3 linked regions of the Arabidopsis thaliana genome follow. The protein of the gene in region 3 purifies or fractionates together with the protein of the main gene of each other region. This does not show direct contact. Each region holds a gene or a part of one and is shown on either strand. Other genes may lie near its edges. The genes, in order: AT3G23390, AT4G14320 and BCE2.

Region 1 (5,294 bases), 6.2 Mb from region 3:
TATCTCACTCTCTTCGTTTTTTTTTCCTTCTCAACAATGGCGACTTCTTCTACTTTCTCGTCACTACTACCTTCACCACCAGCTCTTCTTTCCGACCACCGTTCTCCTCCACCATCCATCAGATACTCCTTTTCTCCCTTAACTACTCCAAAATCGTCTCGTTTGGGTTTCACTGTACCGGAGAAGAGAAACCTCGCTGCTAATTCGTCTCTCGTTGAAGTATCCATTGGCGGAGAAAGTGACCCACCACCATCATCATCTGGATCAGGAGGAGACGACAAGCAAATTGCATTACTCAAACTCAAATTACTTGTGAGTCTGATTCAAACCAATCGGTGAAATTATAAGAAATTGGTTTCGTTTCTTTGGAATTAGGGTTTATATTACTGTTAAGATTCGATTATAGAGTGAATTTTGGGAAGATTTTTCAGATTTGATTTGTGATGTGTTGTGTTGTGAGAAATTGCAGAGTGTAGTTTCGGGATTAAACAGAGGACTTGTGGCGAGTGTTGATGATTTAGAAAGAGCTGAAGTGGCTGCTAAAGAACTTGAAACTGCTGGGGGACCGGTTGATTTAACCGATGATCTTGATAAGCTTCAAGGGAAATGGAGGCTGTTGTATAGTAGTGCGTTCTCTTCTCGGTCTTTAGGTGGTAGCCGTCCTGGTCTACCTACTGGACGTTTGATCCCTGTTACTCTTGGCCAGGTAATTCTTGAATCATTGCTCTGTTTTTACCCGTCAAGATTCGGTTTTTCGGGTAAGTTGTTGAGGAGTTTATGTGCATGGTCTAGTCTATCATCAATAGTCTTGCTTGAGTTTGAATGGGGCTGAGCTAAGAATCTAGCTTTCTGAGGTTACAATTTGGTAATGTCATCTTATACTCGAAAGCAAACTTTTTTCTATATTGTCAAGTTTATGTGTACGGTCTGGTCTATCATTGGTAGTCTTTGTTGAGCTTGAATGGTGAGGAGCTTAGAATCTAGCAATGTCATCTACTCCTTAATCATTTTTTTCTATATTGCCAAGTTTATGTGTACGGTCTTAGTCAATCATCTTTATTCTTGGTTGAGTTTGAATGGTGATGAGCTTAGAATCTAGCTTTCTTTGGTTTAAATTTGGCAAAGAACCATACCTGAATCGGTAGAAAGCAAACTTCTTTAATATTATCTCTTGTTTCTGAATCATTAAAACAGGTGTTTCAACGGATTGATGTGTTTAGCAAAGATTTTGATAACATAGCAGAGGTGGAATTAGGAGCCCCTTGGCCATTTCCGCCATTAGAAGCCACTGCGACATTGGCACACAAGTTTGAACTCTTAGGTTTGCATTTCCCTTTCTCTCATTAAGTTTATCGAATTGTGTAAGAGCAAAATAACTTATCTGTATCTTTGACATTTATGGGGAAAACAGGCACTTGCAAGATCAAGATAACATTTGAGAAAACAACTGTGAAGACATCGGGAAACTTGTCGCAGATTCCTCCGTTTGATATCCCGAGGCTTCCCGACAGTTTCAGACCATCGTCAAACCCTGGAACTGGGGATTTCGAAGTTACCTATGTTGATGATACCATGCGCATAACTCGCGGGGACAGAGGTGAACTTAGGGTATTCGTCATTGCTTAATTCTCAAAGCTTTGACATGTAAAGATAAATAAATACTTTCTGCTTGATGCAGTCTCATGAGTTTTGTACAAATCATGTGAACATATAAATGCGCTTTATAAGTAAATGAGTGTCTTGTTCAATGAATCATATGAAAGAATTTGTATGACTCAGAAAATTGGACAATGATATAGACCTTCCAAATTTTGCACCCTCTAATGTGAGATATTAGTGATTTTTTCTTAGGTTGGTAGAGAGAACGGATTGGCAAAAAAATATCGAAGGTCAATGATTAACAGCAAAACCATATCTTGATGATTCAAAATATAGAGTTAACAAGCAAAGATGAGACAATCTTATACGAGAGAGCTAAAACAAATGGATTCCAAATCCAGCAAGTACAAAAATCGCAGAAAATAAGATGAAACCAACTTAAAACAGAGATGTTCCCTTTCCCTTCTTGTCACCACCGATCTCGAAATGCTTGCACCTCTGAAATAAACAACAAACCAACACAATGTAAGCAAATTACCAAGTTACAAATCCGGTATAATGAACTGATCTATGTTCTATGCACCTTGATAGGACGCTGCGAAAAGTGCTTGCAGCTTTGACACTGAAGCCTCAAAACAATCTTCTTCGTGGTCTTAGCCTGTTAACAAGATTCACAAGATGTATCTCAGTCCAAAACTGAGACTATTGGAATGTCTGTTTCCTCACAGCTCACTTCCAAAATTCTACTATAAATGGTTCCTTAAAACTACCTCATTTCAACTAACTAGACCTAATTCAAACTGAAAAAACAATCAATGCATGATAATCAATGTTACCTTTTTGTGGAAGACAGGCTTAGTCTGACCACCATAACCAGATTGTTTACGGTCATAACGACGCTTTCCTTGAGCAGCAAGACTGTCTTTACCCTTCTTGTATTGGGTAACCTTGTGCAAAGTATGCTTTTTGCATTCCTTGTTCTTACAGTAAGTGTTCTTTGTCTTTGGAATGTTCACCTTCAAAATTCATAAAATCAAAAATGAATCACTCACACACATACAAAATCAAGAGACTTTTAAGGTTAATCAAAATACAAACATCATTTAGATTGAAAACTTTTATGATAGATCTGAAAAACAATACAATAAATCAATCAACCATGTATTGTTGTTCTTCAAAGTCAACGAACTTTACAAATTCCAAAATCACATCGAAAGAGAAGAAACAATTTACCATTTTCGCGTCTCTGATCTCCGGTGAAGCTTTTGTGCCGTCGTCGTTCCACTAGACGAAGTTGTTTAAAGAAGAAGAATTTATAGTACACTTTCTGAAAACCCTAATCTGACTTTGGGCCTTAGGTTTAACTAATAAGGCCCATATATAGTATAAGGATTGGTCATAAACAATGGGCCCATCTGTATGTCAAAGTCCTTTATGAGTTTTTGTTTCCTATTGATTTTTTTGCTTTTTGAATTAAATCGTCAAGACCCTGGAACTAAAGTTGAAGTGATCAAATGAAATCAAAAGCATCAAAAACAAAATTCAGTAGAAAAAAATGATTTACTTTTAAGTTTTGGTTTCGTTTGAACCAAGAAATAAAAACCTATTATAACATGTAAACGCAACAAACAATCGAAGCCCAATAGATATGTCAAACACACTCAAGTCTATTACTAATTGAATCCTAAGAACACAATCGAAAGATTCCTTGAGAATAATTTAAGAGTGTTAAGCAAGCATATATTTCACATCCCTGGTTCACAATCATCAAAGGGTTCTCTTTTCTCGACGCGATATAAAACATTGGTCTTGTAATGCAAAGGCATTTCCAACAAAAGGGAGAGAAAAGACTAAAGTGTGTAGATCAATCATGAGAAGAAACAATACCACCACCACCACCACACTCTAGTCTAATCTTGAAAATATAACACTCTCTTTCTTTGTTCCTCATCTTTCATCTTCCTGTAGAACTTCCAAGACCCGCACAAGGGTAAACCGCTCTCACAGATATATCTGTTTCTTTCTTGTTTGATGGTTCATTAGATGGAGGAGGTTCGCCTCCTCCTGTTGCTGATCCTTTTGACTTTTTTTGCTTTGATTGTTTTGGTACAACAAACTGATCAGTCTGTTGAGGTAACTCTAATCCTGAACCTGACTCTGACCCTGAACCCGTGTTCTGCTCTCTTTGTTTCCCCGTGTTGCGTTTTGATGGCCTTACTGATCCTCCTACCCTTGATGGAGATTCTGTAGGTGAGTTGTTTCCTGTTGATGTTTTACGTCTTCCCTTCCTATGTTTCTCCCCGGAACTCCCAGGTTTTTTGTTAGATGTTCCTTTCGTCTCAGTCTTCGTTTGATCGGTAGGCTTGAAATCATGCATCTGCATATTCCCATGAAAATATTTGACCTAATCCACAAACAAAAGATATGTAGAATATGTTATAAAAATATTGAGAGAAGGATATACCCAGCTTGGGGTGGTAGCTGAGGGCCCTTCCCATCCTATATGAGCAACATGTTTGACATCGGTTGGTATTCCAATCTGCATCTCTGGTTCCTTCTCATCCTCTACAACAATTTTTTTTTATAAGATTTAAGAATCTGATTTTTGGTAATTGTATAGACATATATGATCTTTGTTTCGAGAACAAATAAACTCACCGAAGATACGAGCAATGTACCTCAAACCTTTTAATAGACCCTTCATAGGTGAGGTCATATTCAACTTGCAGATGCATACCTAGCTTGCACACCAAGGAAAAAAAATAAACATTTTTTCATAAATTAATATTTTTTCTTTGAGATTCTTCTTCTCTTAGGGATACAACTTTCGGTAATGCATAGATTGGCCAAAGAATTAAATTGTTTTTGCGTGAATCCTATTGCGATAAGAATCTTAAGAAAAATAAAAAAGAACTTACATGTTTGTGGAGTAGATAAAACCCTATTTAACAAAGAAATAGATTCATATAGATGTCCAAGAGCTATGAGTTTCTGCAAATTTGAGAGGAATATATAAACAAACGATAAGATAAAAAACACACACATCTATTTCTGTTTGGAGAAGAAGAAAATGATACCTGGTTAAGAAAACTACACAAAATGTTACTATCTTCAAATCAAAAAGTTTTTTTCTCAAACTTATTTGTGTTGTTATCTTGTTTCTTGTTTTGTTTAAGAGAGAGGTAACGTAAGAAGAAAGAAATCTCAAATGTTGTCCTCTTTGTTCGATCACAAAGGCTCTCTTTTTTTCTTGCCTATTTCTTTTTTACATATGCATAAAAGCTACGTGGCGGATGATTATTGGATGTAGAAGTTGGAAGTCAAAGGATAGCCAGAAGATTTTCCCTTATTTGGTGGTTTCAATGCAATTTCTTCAATTCTATTTTAAGCTGATTTTGAGTCGTTTTTTTTCTGGCAAACGCGGGATATACGGTTTTTTTGTTTAGGGAAAGCCAAAAGTAAATCTCTAATCATCTTATTGAGCAAAATAGTTTGCATATACAGTAACCACTATGTATAATGTATATATATCTTAAATATATAGTTGGGTAATTTACTTTATTTCTTAATTATAAATTATATGATTATATCTACATAATTTGCAGGACTAGTTTTTATTGTAGTCAACAACTTCCCAAATAAGATGTTTTGCTTCACACATCGGTTGGTGTCGTTTTTTCCTTGGAGAACTTAAC
Region 2 (6,619 bases), on a different chromosome or scaffold from region 3:
TCGGAAGTGGAGTTACAGACCTCAATGGTTTTTTACCAGATGATGGATTTTCACCGGCGCCGGTGTTTATATCTTTTAGCCGGCGGCGATTCGTTGAAGCTGACATCTGCAAAATCGTAGGGTAAAATGATTTAGGATTTTGAAAAAAAAGTTTGGGGGAAAAATAAAAGCTTTTGATTTTTGAAGAAAAAGCACAAAACGATAAATGGAGGATATCACTACCGCAACTCCACAAGCCGACAAATTTATTAGAGTTTCAATTTCAAAATATTTGGGCGGGATTTCCAAAAAAAAAACTCAAAATTTTTGGAGATCGCGAATGTTCAAAAAGTCGATTGATTAACGAAACGCAGCGTTTAGGTAAATTTATTAAACACGTGATAGCAACAAATGCAGAACGCGACATTTTGAAACACGTGGCAGTGTAGAAATAGCGACACGAATTTTGTTAACTAAAACGCTGCGTTTTTAATAAAATATACAGTAACAGTTGAATAGTTGATTGCGACACGAAACGATGCGTTTAGGGTATGCTGTTTTTAAAACACGTGGCAGCAACAAATAAACCGAAACGCAGCGTTTTGAGGTGGTTATTAACGTGAAAGGTCTCGCCAGTTTTTGTGTTTCATGCATTAGTACACGAAACGTTGTCTTCTACTTCTCGGGGAAACGACACAACCGTAGATTTGATGTCTGAATCTGTGTATATATAACTTCTCCAATTAGAGACACTAACACAGAATTGATCACTACTCCTATCGAAAAGTAGACGAAAATGGCGAATGAGTATGGATTCGGGATGGGTTCGGTTTTGGCGATTGTTGTCGTTGCACTAATGTTACTGTTTGTTCCGTTGATGATGGGACCGGTGACTGCACCATCTCTTCCAATGATCTTGATGTTTCCGGTCGTATTGCTCTTTGTGTTTCTCTATCTCCATTTTACTTCCAAGTGATCAAACATCAAATCTCTTTCTATTATTATCGTGTAATATGCAGTACGTATTTATTTCGATAGTATTGCTCTTACGTTTTTGGTTATACATTTATAAAAACAAAAATTGTATTTGTTCTATTATATACAATATATCAATTGACTAACGCATGCGCAGTTGGTTTGGATCTCTATTGATTTGCAAGTAAATTTTTTGGATTTATCTTTCTTTCTCACTTCGTTTCTTACATTATTAGAGAATTTGACTTACATCGCGATGTATGTTTTACAAGCAAGTAGAATCGATGCCACTTTCCTTAGATATTAGCGTAGTAGACAATGTCAATGATCGAGAAATATACACAAAAGTACCTAACTTTTGTCAGCATGAACAGATTTGAATGATATTACGTAATTGTAGAGAAGAAACTTACCTTAAAATTAACACCTCTAAAAGGTAAGAATGTGTTAGTAGAAAATGGCTATTCATATTGTAAAATTAAAAGGCCGTATAATTAGTACAGAGGAATTCGACTTGGAAACAGAAAATTAGAGATTAAATAAAACACGAATTTTAAATAACGGAAATAAAACTTTAGTGTAAATTATCTATACCCATAATATATATAGTACCAGAATCTAAGTATAATAAAGTAAAAAAAGAAAAACTGAAGTAGCATCCTTGACCGTCACCACATCTTCCGCCGCTGGCTGCCTGGCTCCACCACCACCACTACTACATTCACCGGTTCATTGTCAATACCACCACCAACAGGTCCTTCTCCTCTATCACCACAGCAGCCAGGACCACCACAGCAGACACAAGAGAATATCATCTCATCTACCATTTTGCCCGCACAGCTCTCAATTAAAACTAACACAAAGGCCAAAACACATAGGACTATCATGGTAATATAAAAAGAGTTGTTCATGTTCTCTTTTGTGCAATAAGGAGCCAGGAAACATGTTCTTCTATTTATATAATTTGGTTTTATTGTAACACATTAGTTTCGGGTCAGCTAATGGCATGATTATCATATAGCCAAAATAGAACCTTCATTTTCCATTCACGTTGCGGGGAATATAGAACCACCAATATACCGAGGAGAAACTTCTGTATGCTCTTAAGAAATTTAGTGAAAGTTAGTATGGCTGAAGTTAAAAGAAGAAAACAAATAATATTTAGTATTATCAATTCATTTCTATACGTATATGTCATTTTAATTTGCCAAGCTCATATATAACACTGATTTGCAGCACAAAACGATAAATGATTTTTCGAGATCCGAAAATAGAAAGTGGTTTTTAGAACTTAAAGAGTGTTATGTCTACTTTGTCGCAAGTTATAGAGAATACTCAAGGGCAGCCTAATGAAGAAAGATTGGTTAACCAAATTAAAAGACATCCATAAGACCAAGTCCTATTTAAATTAAAAACCAGGACCATTTCTGGTAGATTCAAAGTATATCACAGTATTGAAGCAGGACAGGTACCAAACAAAACAAAAAAAAGTAGATAGATGAAACAACAACTTAAAAGAGAGATGTTCCCTTTCCCTTCTTGTCTCCACCGATCTCAAAGTGCTTGCACCTCTGCAAAAACCACACACAAAGTGTAAGAAACAGAACTGAGACTAAAGAGTGATTAACAAAGGTAAAGAATGTCGCAGACATTACCTTAATCGGGCGTTGCGAGAAATGCTTGCAGCTTTGGCATTGAAGCCTCAGCACAATCTTCTTAGTTGTCTTAGCCTGTTCCAAAGAAAGACAAATAATGAGCAAGGTCCAATTAACAAATCATTCCTATAAGACATATTTCACAGAGTCAATTCTGAAATCCTAAATTGGTTCTCACATAGAAGACAGTAATTAGAGATCAAGACAAGGAAAAGCGAGTATACCTTCTTGTGGAAGACGGGCTTGGTCTGACCTCCATAACCAGATTGTTTACGATCATAACGACGCTTTCCTTGGGCAGCAAGGCTATCTTTACCTTTCTTATACTGCGTCACCTTGTGCAAGGTATGCTTCTTGCACTCCTTGTTCTTGCAGTAAGTGTTCTTAGTTTTCGGAATGTTCACCTACAGAAAACCAAGTTTAAAACTACCACAAGATACAGTTTCAACAGCATACAGAATTAATTACGATCATAGAAGTGAATCTAAATACGCCCTTCAGAACAAACCCTAAAACTTGTTAATAAAATTTCCTGCTTCTCCTAAATCATTCAGAATTAATTGCTACCATACGATCTGACTACTCAACTAGTCAATATTGATAACCATTTTGTGAATCCTACAAGTCCCTGAAGTACAAATCCTTCTTAATTCTCCTAAAAATCAGAACAGAATTGCAGCAACACAAATGAAGATACATAACACTATATCATTTTGAATCTCTGGTAGATTGGAGCTAAAACTCTTCACAGAGACGAAGTGAACTGAATCTTCGAATTTACAACACAGAATGCAACATAACAGATTCTAAAAATCACAATTAGACTCTAATAATTCTCGATTTAAGATGCAAAATCAGAAATAAACAACTTAAAGAAGAAGAAAAATCACACAGCAGATCTATAATCAATAATCTCGTTCTTCAATAGTAACCAAGGAGAAATTTAGCAGAAATAAAGAAAGAGAAGAGAGTCACCATTTTCGCTCTTCGGTGAAGCTCGTGCCGTCGTCTTCCACTGCCGCAAAACCTTTAATAAAAACCTAAAGTAACAGAGCTTATAAGAGAGACATTTGAGAAAACCCTAATACTACAAACATTGGGCCTCTATAAACACAAAAAGCCCATTAACTTAATCAAAAAGTCAGGCCCATCTCACTTCCCTTTTTTAAAAGAAAGTAAATATATTCTAGTTGCCGAAAATAAAAATTGTTAATAATCAGTGGCCCGTGGACAAAAACTAGCCGTTTAGAGATACAACACAACGGTTATGTTTGTTTCTTTGTTTCAAACTTCAAACCTCGTGAATCACTCACAAACCCTAATCCCCTTTTTCATTTTCTCTCTCTCTAACGCTCTCTGAATCTCAATTTCAATTTCACTCTTTCGAAACTTCTTCAACAATGGCACCGACACCATCTTCTTCAAGATCAAATCAAACTCAATACACCTTAATCAGAACTCCACAAACAAAACAACGTCTCAATTTCCACTCAAAAACCCCAAACCCAGACGGATCTAAAGATCCATCTCCACCGGAGCATCCAGTTGAAGTAATCGGCCGGATCCGAGATTACCCTGACCGGAAAGAGAAATCACCTTCGATCTTACAAGTCAACACAGATAATCAAACGGTACGAGTCAGAGCTGATGTTGGGTACAGAGACTTCACACTCGACGGTGTTTCTTTCTCGGAGCAAGAAGGTCTTGAAGAGTTCTACAAGAAGTTTATAGAAGAGAGGATTAAAGGAGTGAAAGTTGGGAATAAATGCACGATTATGATGTATGGACCTACTGGTGCTGGAAAGAGTCATACTATGTTTGGTTGTGGGAAAGAGCCTGGGATTGTGTATCGTTCTTTGAGAGATATATTGGGAGATTCTGATCAAGATGGTGTTACTTTTGTTCAAGTTACTGTTCTTGAGGTTTATAATGAGGAGATTTATGATCTTCTTTCGACTAATAGTAGTAACAATTTAGGTATTGGTTGGCCTAAAGGAGCAAGCACTAAGGTAAAGTTTCTTGATTGATAACTTTAGTATACATTGAATTGGCTTTAAAGGTGTGTACTTTGTTGTTTTGTTACAGGTGAGGCTTGAAGTAATGGGGAAAAAGGCGAAAAACGCAAGTTTTATTTCTGGGACAGAGGCTGGGAAGATTTCTAAAGAAATTGTCAAAGTGGAGAAACGGAGAATTGTGAAGAGTACACTTTGTAACGAAAGAAGTTCTCGGAGTCACTGCATTGTAAGAACGATCTTCTTGATTGATGTGTATGCATAGCTTTATGCAGCTTATCTCTGTTTTAACTTACTAGTGTGGTTGTTTCTTTTTGTAGATCATACTTGATGTGCCAACTGTTGGGGGAAGATTGATGCTTGTTGACATGGCTGGTTCTGAAAATATAGACCAAGCTGGGCAGACTGGATTTGAAGCTAAGATGCAAGTAATGTTTCCTCTCTCAATTTGTTTGATTCTACTAAAGTTATTGTAGTTATGGATATCAACTGACTTATATCTCTCATTATTCAACAGACTGCTAAGATCAACCAGGGAAATATTGCACTGAAGCGAGTTGTGGAATCTATAGCAAATGGAGATTCTCATGTACCCTTTAGAGACAGCAAGCTGACCATGCTTCTCCAGGTGAAATTCTTGTTCCATTGTTTTATCTTCTGGAAAATGTTTTACGTGTTGCTTGGTTTTCTTGAAGATATTTAGTGTTGTTTCTATTCTCTGAATGCAGGACTCTTTTGAAGATGACAAGTCAAAGATTCTAATGATCCTGTGTGCGAGCCCGGATCCAAAGGAAATGCACAAGACTCTCTGTACTCTAGAGTATGGGGCAAAAGCAAAGTGCATAGTTCGTGGGTCTCATACTCCAAACAAAGATAAGTATGGGGGTGATGAGTCTGCTTCTGCTGTGATTTTGGGATCAAGAATAGCTGCCATGGATGAGTTCATTATCAAACTCCAGTCTGAGAAGAAGCAAAAAGAAAAAGAAAGGAATGAGGCACAAAAGCAGCTGAAGAAGAAGGAAGAGGAAGTTGCTGCTTTAAGATCTCTTTTAACACAGAGGGAAGCTTGTGCTACCAATGAAGAGGAGATAAAAGAGAAAGTAAACGAGAGAACCCAGCTTTTGAAGTCGGAACTAGATAAGAAACTTGAAGAATGCCGAAGAATGGCTGAGGAATTTGTTGAGATGGAGAGAAGGAGAATGGAGGAAAGGATAGTTCAGCAGCAAGAGGAACTGGAGATGATGAGGAGACGGTTAGAGGAAATCGAGGTTGAGTTCCGCCGCTCAAATGGAGGAAGTGTTGATGAAACTAGTGGGTTTGCCAAAAGACTCAGGAGTCTTTACTCTGATGATGATCCTGGTATGGTGAAGTCAATGGACCTTGACATGGGTGATCCAGAACCTGTCAAGCAAGTGTGGGGAGCTGTTTCACACCAATCAAGCAACACTATTAGTAGCAACTTCACTAACCTTTTGCAACCGAAGCCTTCAGAGAATATGCTTACACAGATGTATCCTGACCGGGTATGCTTGAGCACTGTCTTTGAAGAAGAAGAAGTTGAAGAAGAGGAAGAAAAAGTGATAGTCGAGGATAAAAGCATCTGCTTGATAACAACACCAATGCCTAGTTTGAACTCTGAAGGTTTGGGTAAAGAGAACTGCTTCAACGGTGCAGATGACAAGGAATCAGCCTCGTCTAGAAGGTTGAGAATTCAAAACATTTTCACCCTTTGTGGCAATCAGAGAGAGCTGTCTCAACACAGTGGACAGGAGGAGGATCAAGCCAATATTGCATCACCTGATAAGAAAGACAATCAGTTCTTTTCTATTACGAATAAGGCCGAAGCACTAGCAGTAGAAGAAGCAAAGGAAAACAATATCTCAGTCGATCAAAGGGAAAACGGTCAGCTAGATATCTATGTTAAATGGGAAACAGCTGCTGATAACCCTCGAAAGCTCATAACAACACTGAGAGTTACAAAGGATGCAACACTAGCTG
Region 3 (7,171 bases):
TCGCATTGTTAAATATAGACGTATAATTAGTTATTCGTTAGGTACTGGAATATGATATGATTGATTAATTTTTCTTTTTTGTGGTATGAAATGTAAAGACGAATGATAAAATTGTAATGACTAAAAAAGGAATTGAAAAGGAGATGAATTATCATGTATGGGCCATTTATAAAAGTAAAAAAAAAAAAAAAACTTAGAAAAATACGGGTTGTTTGAAAATGACAGAATAGACGACTCTCGTTGCATTGAATTTGAGTGAACCCCACACTCTCTTTCAAGTCTCAACGGCCATCTCCATTCTCTTCTATCTCTTCTTCACAAAACTCTTTCACCCATTTTTCCTCCATTAAACAACAAACGACCTCGTAAGAAAAATGTCAAACATTTCCCCAATCTTCTCCATCTCCAACTCTCAACATTTCAGCGACTATGGCTTCGATCCCCAACTCCACTACTTTCAGGTATGTTTACGTTTTTGCTAATGTTTTGTTTCGTTTCAAATCAACAAAACTCAAATCCAATGGATCTGGCTCTGCATTTGCATTCTGTTTTTGAGTAATTTTGGCTCTGTTTCTGATGTCTTAATGGAAAGGTTATGGAAGAAGCGAGGAAGCATAAGAGAGAAACGTCATCAAAATCATACACGAACGGTCTTCAATTCAAGATCCAGAAACCCATTTCAAAAGACAACCCGACCCGGTCCACAATGCACAACGACAAGAAGAAGAAACGGTGTTGGTGGAAGAAAGCTCTCCCTTTTTTCAAATGGCGGAAATGGCCAATCTCCACCGTCGGCGTGAACGAAGATCGTAGGGTCAGGAACTTTCGCTCCGTAACCGGGTCCATGTCAATGTCGGGTCCGATTTACGCAACGGAGAGTCTAATAAGTGGGTCGAACACACCGTATCGTACAACAACGAGTAAACCTTCGTCGGGACCTATAGCGGGAACATTGACGCCGGCGAGGAAAGGTGACGTGGCGATTCCTTATCTGAGCTTACGAGAGCTTAACATGGAGCAGCCACAGAGGATTTCTATCTCTTCTTCCCCAATTTACTTGGTCACGTAAAAAGTTAACAACTCCTTACAAAAAGAACAATTTAACTTTTCTTTTTGGTCGGGGAAAAATATTCAATAGAAAAATGTGATGTTTCATCTATCTTTTCAAAATTTGGTGAAAGCTGCAAAGTTTCATCTATCTCACGTGAATCAATTTAGTTGCCTCTTTTTATAGATAATAGATACATGCATGCTTGTATTTAACAACTTCTGAATAATCATTATTTGGATTTTTCAAGTCGTGATGGTCGAAAGTGACTGGAACCGGTAAGAGTGGATATTCCTTTGTCTTGCACGACTCCTTTATTATTAATGTCTTGAAAAGAGACGTTAGTCCTTAGTACACAGATACGAATGTTGATCCTTTTAAGAAATTAACGTGTCGTCTTCATAAATACATTTTCATTATTTACAAAACGTTCCGTGTTAAGACTTATGAGGTTAGCTAGTGTTCATATGTTGCAGTTTTGTGTTGAGTTATTAGATATGACTTTTACTTTCTTGTTTAGTTTACAACTGCTAGCTCAGTTCTTGATCTTATTCGAACATGAAGGTTTCATACATAATGATTCACAAATAAACATGAACCTTTCCTTCTTATCTCATTTGAAGCATCAGCAGCTCCGGTTTCTCGACATACTCTTTCCACTGGCAGCAAAACCGAGCTACCGTTGCCCCATCTAGAACTCTATGATCCGCAGCAATGTTAACCTGAGTCAAAATAATCAGACCTTGGTTATTAACAACAATTCTTGTAACTAAGAAGAAATGAATGAACAAGAATAGCTTTTACCATCATTATCGATGCAGGATAGACAGTTCCTTCTTTTGAGAATTTTGGAACTTTCTCGATTCTTCCAAGAGCGATGATTGCAACTTCCGGTAAGTTTAAAAGAGGGGATCCGAATTTACCACCAATTGCTCCAATGTTACTCAGAGTTATGGTTCCACCAGTCACATCCTCGGGGTTAAGTTTGTTGTTTGCTGCCAAATGTTGTAACCGGGACAGCTCTTTGGTTATCTCTAGCAGAGATAATGACTGAACATTCTTTATATTAGGAACGACAAGGCCATGTTCAGTGGCCATTGCAACTCCAATATTATGTGAACCTGCAAGTAACCAAGAATATATCTATATCTAATAATCCAAGGATGTTAACCTCAAAACCAAAACAACAATGAGAAGTTCCTAGAAAAAAAATACCTTTGAGAATGATCTCGAGAGATTCCGCGTTGAAGCAACTATTCACGAAGGGATATTTGGTTAGAGCCATTGACAGAGACTTGATTAAAGTAGGAAGAAAAGTGTGTTTGATGGTGGAATCTGTATTGTTCTCTTTGAAGAACTGCTTGAGCTCCACAAGTGAGTCGCAGTTTATCTCTTCAACAAAATGAAAATGCGGTACACTTGTAGCCATAGTCATTGTCTTGACCATTGCTCGGCTGAATCCCCTGAGAATAAGGATATAGCTTCAGGTGGTTAATTCAGATACAAGATGGGTTCATGTACAATGCAAATTGCCAACAAAGGCGTACCTTAGAGGAACTGTTTTATCTTCAAAGTTACTACTAGCTTTAGTGGAAACCGAGTCTCCTCCTATAACAGCATGCTCAGAAGAAACTGAATCTGTTACAAATCCTTTCTGGTCACTAAACCGGAGAACATCCTCTTTCAAAACTCTACCATCTTTACCAGTTCCAGTTATAACATTGATATCTATGCCAAGGTCTTTTGCAAGGTTACGAACCGCAGGCGTTGAGAGAGCTCCAAGAAGATTTTCTGTTCCCTGCTTTGAACCTCCCAGAGTTACAATTTCTGAACTATCAGTGGTTAGAAGCGAATCCTGCGAGTCTTCAACCGCCAACCTAACCAGAGTCTCTCCAACCTTGCATCAATAGATTTTGCCACATATAAGTACTTATAAAAGTGAAACATTTGATACCTGATCTATCAGAACCTTTAAACATATATATATAGATAACACAAAAGCTTAACATGTCAAAATCTCTTAGTGTTCATGGTTTACAATAGAGTAACATGCTCAAACTTAGCCTCTAACACCATAAAGAAAGAAAATGTATCTAACCTTAATAATGTCACCTGGAGAATGTGAAATCAGAGCCACTTTCCCTTTAAAACGACTTGTGATCTCTATAGTTGCTTTATCGCTCTGAACTTCACAGAGTGGCTGAAACTCTTCCACAGAATCTCCCTGCAAAAGGAAAAACACCAAAATGTCTATATCATAACGAAACGAAACAGAACAATTGAAAAAAAGAAACTTTGAGCGGAGAAACCAAAGAGACCTCTTTGACAAACCACTTGAGAAGCTCACATTCAGCAATACCTTCCCCAGTTTGAGCTAGTGGCACATCAATTAACCCTGAATTTGAATCAGTGGCCATGGCTTCGTTCGAAAACCAGCTTCTACTTCCTCCACCCCATTTCATCAACTGTGAAAAATATGACAAACTTGTTTGATCCTTTGTCCAAAAATTACCAGAAAAACCACACATTCTAAGCAAACAGAGTTTTCCAAGTTTAAGTCTCTCTGATAAATTTATTTTCTTTCTAAATTTATACAGTTTCGATGTTTCTTTTTCCGCCTAGAAGAGCTTCTCGGAAGCTAATGTCATGCCTCAAAATTAATTTGAAAAAAAAAACTGAAAAAGGAAGGAAATTTGGTGAGAAGAAACATACAGTGGGAGGGTGAACAAAGAATGGGCGCGACGCCGGAGAGGAAGACGACTGAGAAAGATACTCCGGTACCCGGAACGGCGGAGAGCAAACAGATGACGAGCTGAATGGGCGGAGAAACCGGTGGCTTCGCCAGATCCGTCGCGCGATCATTGTTATGAACGGTTGGTCTTTGGTAAAAAACAAAAAACAGTACAAGGGAGAAGAAATAGACAAACAGATTGAGTTGATGGAAGATGTTTCTAAGAAGAGAGCTTAAAAAGATAAATGTTACGTACCCGTGTGTTTGTTTCTGTTCGAGTATCCGGATTAAGACTAAGGTACTGATTAGTATTAATAACTATTTGGATTAGTACCAAAAGAAAAAGAGAAAAAAAACTATCGGATTGGCTTATCTATGCCACATCAGCAATATCACGGAGAGGATCAACGGTACACGCGTATCCTCATGTACATCACTTTTTTTTTTTCCTTCAGATGGTGGGCTATATATATCGACTTCAAAAAAAGCCTTTTACAAGCAGATCCACTAAAGCCGAAAAGAAAAATGCCAAAAGGCCAGACTTACAAAGTGGACACACTTTTCTCATAGACAGAATTCATTAAAGCAAGAAAGATAACCTTAACCAACATAAGATTGCACTTGATTATTCTTTGTTACACTTTGAAGTTTGAACAATTAAAAATGAACAAACAAGTTAGAGATGTGAATGTGAGGCTACTTCCAAAATACAATCTATTTCATCACTAAACGCCTAACATTATCTTTGGAAAGTGAGCTACCTACCAACCCAAAATTACATCTAACTTACGTCTTTTGTCTTTTGAGTTTTGCCAACCGTCTTTGATCTTGGAAGATATTCGTTTACGTCCTTTAAGTTTTAAGCAAATCCATCATTGTTAGTGAAGTCTTAAGTTTTAGACGTTTTATTACTGTTATGGTTAACTGTATGAAAGTTGATACTTAGTCATGTGAAAAGATATTTCACCGGACCATAAATAGAGAGAATAAAAAACAAGTTATGGTTTGAATACTTGTCTAAAACTATTGATTGCATTTACATTTGTTTTTTAATCTGATTAAACAAAAAACGGATGTCATGGTAGAATTAACATATATTACAAGATATAATATTCAGCATGATCGATTATATGTCATAAATAAATCGCAAAAAAAAAAAACTAATAATGTTAAAAAAAAAAAGAGATACTCTTTCTAGTAAAGTTTATTTACAACTGTAAAATCCTATATAGGGTCGCTTAGTTACAAATCCGTAGTATCAAGATAAGATCCGCCAAGTTTGGTAGTCGCAGGACTATGACCAGCCAAACATATTTATTAGTAATAAATCCGCAGAGTTTAAATGCAAATATTTTGTTCCTAATTCGTGATTAATTCAACTTATACATAAATTGGATACGAATAACAAATAAAAATTCACATATCGAAAACATTATCAAAGTACCGTTGCTTTGAGGAGTGTGCCACTCTACCATATTATCACTGACGTCATCATCTTTTGCAATTATATAATCATCTGATTTCTCACGTCTCCTCTCTTTTTCATTAATTCCGAAAATTTTGACTCGCAAAATCTCAACGAAGCTCGAAAATGGATTCACGAACCAAGGGGAAGACGGTGATGGAAGTTGGTGGCGATGGCGTTGCCGTCATAACACTCATCAATCCTCCCGTCAATTCTCTATCCTTCGACGGTACGTACTCTCAGATTCATTTTATTTTTATGATCCGGAATTTACTGGATTTTACCTCTTCAGATTTAGGTCAATTTCGCTTCGTGATTTGGTTTTGTAAATATCGCCGATTGTAATTGAGCTTCCGATCGAATTTATGATCTGTTTATGTGAATTTTCTTTGTATGTGACTCTGTTTTTGGATATTTGTGTACAGTGCTATACAATCTCAAAAGTAATTACGAGGAGGCCTTGAGCAGGAATGATGTTAAAGCTATTGTTATTACTGGTATTTCTGGAGATCATTCTCTTCCTCGCTAAAAACACAACATTTTTTATGAAAACTTTGGAGATGATCTGGTAATGGCTTTTGTGTTCCTTTTTATTTAACTACAGGTGCAAAGGGGAGGTTCTCTGGTGGCTTTGATATATCTGGTTTTGGTGAAATGCAGAAGGGGAATGGTATGTTTCTGTCTCTTTTGTATCTTTGGTTATTGAATCAGTGTGGTATGTGTTGATCTAGTTAGTAACGTATACTGGTGTTATGAATTTTCTCAGTCAAAGAGCCAAAGGCTGGTTACATTTCGATTGACATCATAACCGACTTGCTTGAAGGTGATCTTTCTACTTAAACCCACTTTATTTGATTTATGGAATACTTGTGTAAGTTGTGTTGCTGAGGGATTTGATTTCTTTCCTTGGATTTAGCTGCTAGGAAACCGTCTGTCGCTGCCATTGATGGACTTGCCTTGGGAGGAGGATTAGAACTTGCTATGGTATGAGTTTCTATGTTATTTATTACCTTCACGAGAAATCCTTTTGAGGAGGAAGGATGGTGATACAGTTGTATGGTTTGTTTCCAGGCTTGTCATGCTAGGATATCAGCTCCTGCTGCACAGTTAGGCTTGCCTGAGCTGCAACTTGGTGTTATTCCTGGTTTTGGAGGTATCTATTCAACTTCGCTGACTGTGAAGTCCTTGAATTCTCTGATCAATATATGGTTTAAAACTCGTGGAGAAGTCAAGGCATTCTCAATGCATAATACTGAGCTGAGGATGGGAAGAGGATCTTCGTTTCATTTTTTTTGTTGAATGAGTCAAGTCACTTTCGTTTATAATGCTAATTATACTCCTTTGGATTGATGTAGGAACGCAGCGTCTCCCGCGTCTTGTTGGTCTCACCAAAGCCCTTGAAATGATTTTGGTATGTCAGTGCCTTATTCTTATGGTAGCATTAGCGTGCCTTGGTTAAAGTGTAATAGCATCTCTTTTGTTGAAACATATAGACATCTAAGCCAGTTAAAGCTGAGGAAGGTCATTCTTTGGGTCTTATTGATGCTGTGGTGCCACCTGCGGAGTTAGTAACCACTGCTCGTCGCTGGGCCCTTGACATAGTCGGGAGGAGAAAACCATGGGTATCTAGTGTTTCCAAGACTGATAAGTTACCTCCTCTTGGAGAGGCAAGGGAGATACTGACGTTTGCCAAGGCACAGACACTCAAGCGTGCCCCCAATATGAAACACCCTTTAATGTGCCTTGACGCTATTGAAGTAGGTATTGTTTCTGGTCCAAGGGCTGGTTTAGAAAAGGTATGATACCTATCTTTCTTCGCTTCATAGTATGTCAGTTCTTTAACCTTTTCTCCCCGACTAATGATCAATATGAATTTCCACCACATTGTTACTTACAGGAAGCTGAAGTCGCCTCACAAGTGGTAAAA

The links.
Region 1: the proteins of BCE2 (region 3) and AT3G23390 fractionate together in Arabidopsis thaliana (co-fractionation; one large-scale study listed by BioGRID). This does not show direct contact.
Region 2: the proteins of BCE2 (region 3) and AT4G14320 fractionate together in Arabidopsis thaliana (co-fractionation; one large-scale study listed by BioGRID). This does not show direct contact.

Annotation. Positions count from the first base shown.
Region 1 is NC_003074.8:8,372,968-8,378,261, reverse strand, and holds AT3G23390 (Zinc-binding ribosomal protein family protein), read right to left. Parts: upstream 2,930-5,294; 5' UTR 2,836-2,929; coding exon 2,833-2,835; intron 2,616-2,832; coding exon 2,436-2,615; intron 2,258-2,435; coding exon 2,183-2,257; intron 2,098-2,182; coding exon 2,038-2,097; 3' UTR 1,826-2,037; downstream 1-1,825. Other genes in the region: FIB4 (Plastid-lipid associated protein PAP / fibrillin family protein), read left to right, coding at 37-312, 470-706, 1,195-1,321, 1,412-1,626; RIC5 (ROP-interactive CRIB motif-containing protein 5), read right to left, coding at 3,554-3,976, 4,064-4,164, 4,258-4,315.
Region 2 is NC_003075.7:8,240,219-8,246,837, forward strand, and holds AT4G14320 (Zinc-binding ribosomal protein family protein), read right to left. Parts: upstream 3,693-6,619; 5' UTR 3,588-3,692; coding exon 3,585-3,587; intron 3,014-3,584; coding exon 2,834-3,013; intron 2,685-2,833; coding exon 2,610-2,684; intron 2,526-2,609; coding exon 2,504-2,525; coding exon of another isoform or gene 2,466-2,503; exon of another isoform or gene 2,212-2,465; intron 1,808-2,211; coding exon 1,623-1,807; 3' UTR 1,514-1,622; downstream 1-1,513. Other genes in the region: AT4G14310 (Transducin/WD40 repeat-like superfamily protein), read right to left, coding at 1-106; AT4G14315 (uncharacterized protein), read left to right, coding at 776-955; AT4G14330 (P-loop containing nucleoside triphosphate hydrolases superfamily protein), read left to right, coding at 4,010-4,618, 4,695-4,850, 4,942-5,049, 5,139-5,249, 5,350-6,619.
Region 3 is NC_003074.8:2,156,556-2,163,726, forward strand, and holds BCE2 (2-oxoacid dehydrogenases acyltransferase family protein), read right to left. Parts: upstream 4,115-7,171; 5' UTR 4,036-4,114; exon of another isoform or gene 3,928-4,035; 5' UTR 3,911-3,927; coding exon 3,761-3,910; intron 3,514-3,760; coding exon 3,367-3,513; intron 3,273-3,366; coding exon 3,147-3,272; intron 2,946-3,146; coding exon 2,596-2,945; intron 2,512-2,595; coding exon 2,264-2,511; intron 2,170-2,263; coding exon 1,853-2,169; intron 1,771-1,852; coding exon 1,657-1,770; 3' UTR 1,376-1,656; downstream 1-1,375. Other genes in the region: AT3G06840 (uncharacterized protein), read left to right, coding at 375-461, 593-1,069; MFP2 (multifunctional protein 2), read left to right, coding at 5,371-5,473, 5,670-5,741, 5,849-5,914, 6,011-6,067, 6,161-6,228, 6,316-6,397, 6,600-6,655, 6,738-7,040 and 1 more. UniProt on the Arabidopsis thaliana protein: The branched-chain alpha-keto dehydrogenase complex catalyzes the overall conversion of alpha-keto acids to acyl-CoA and CO(2).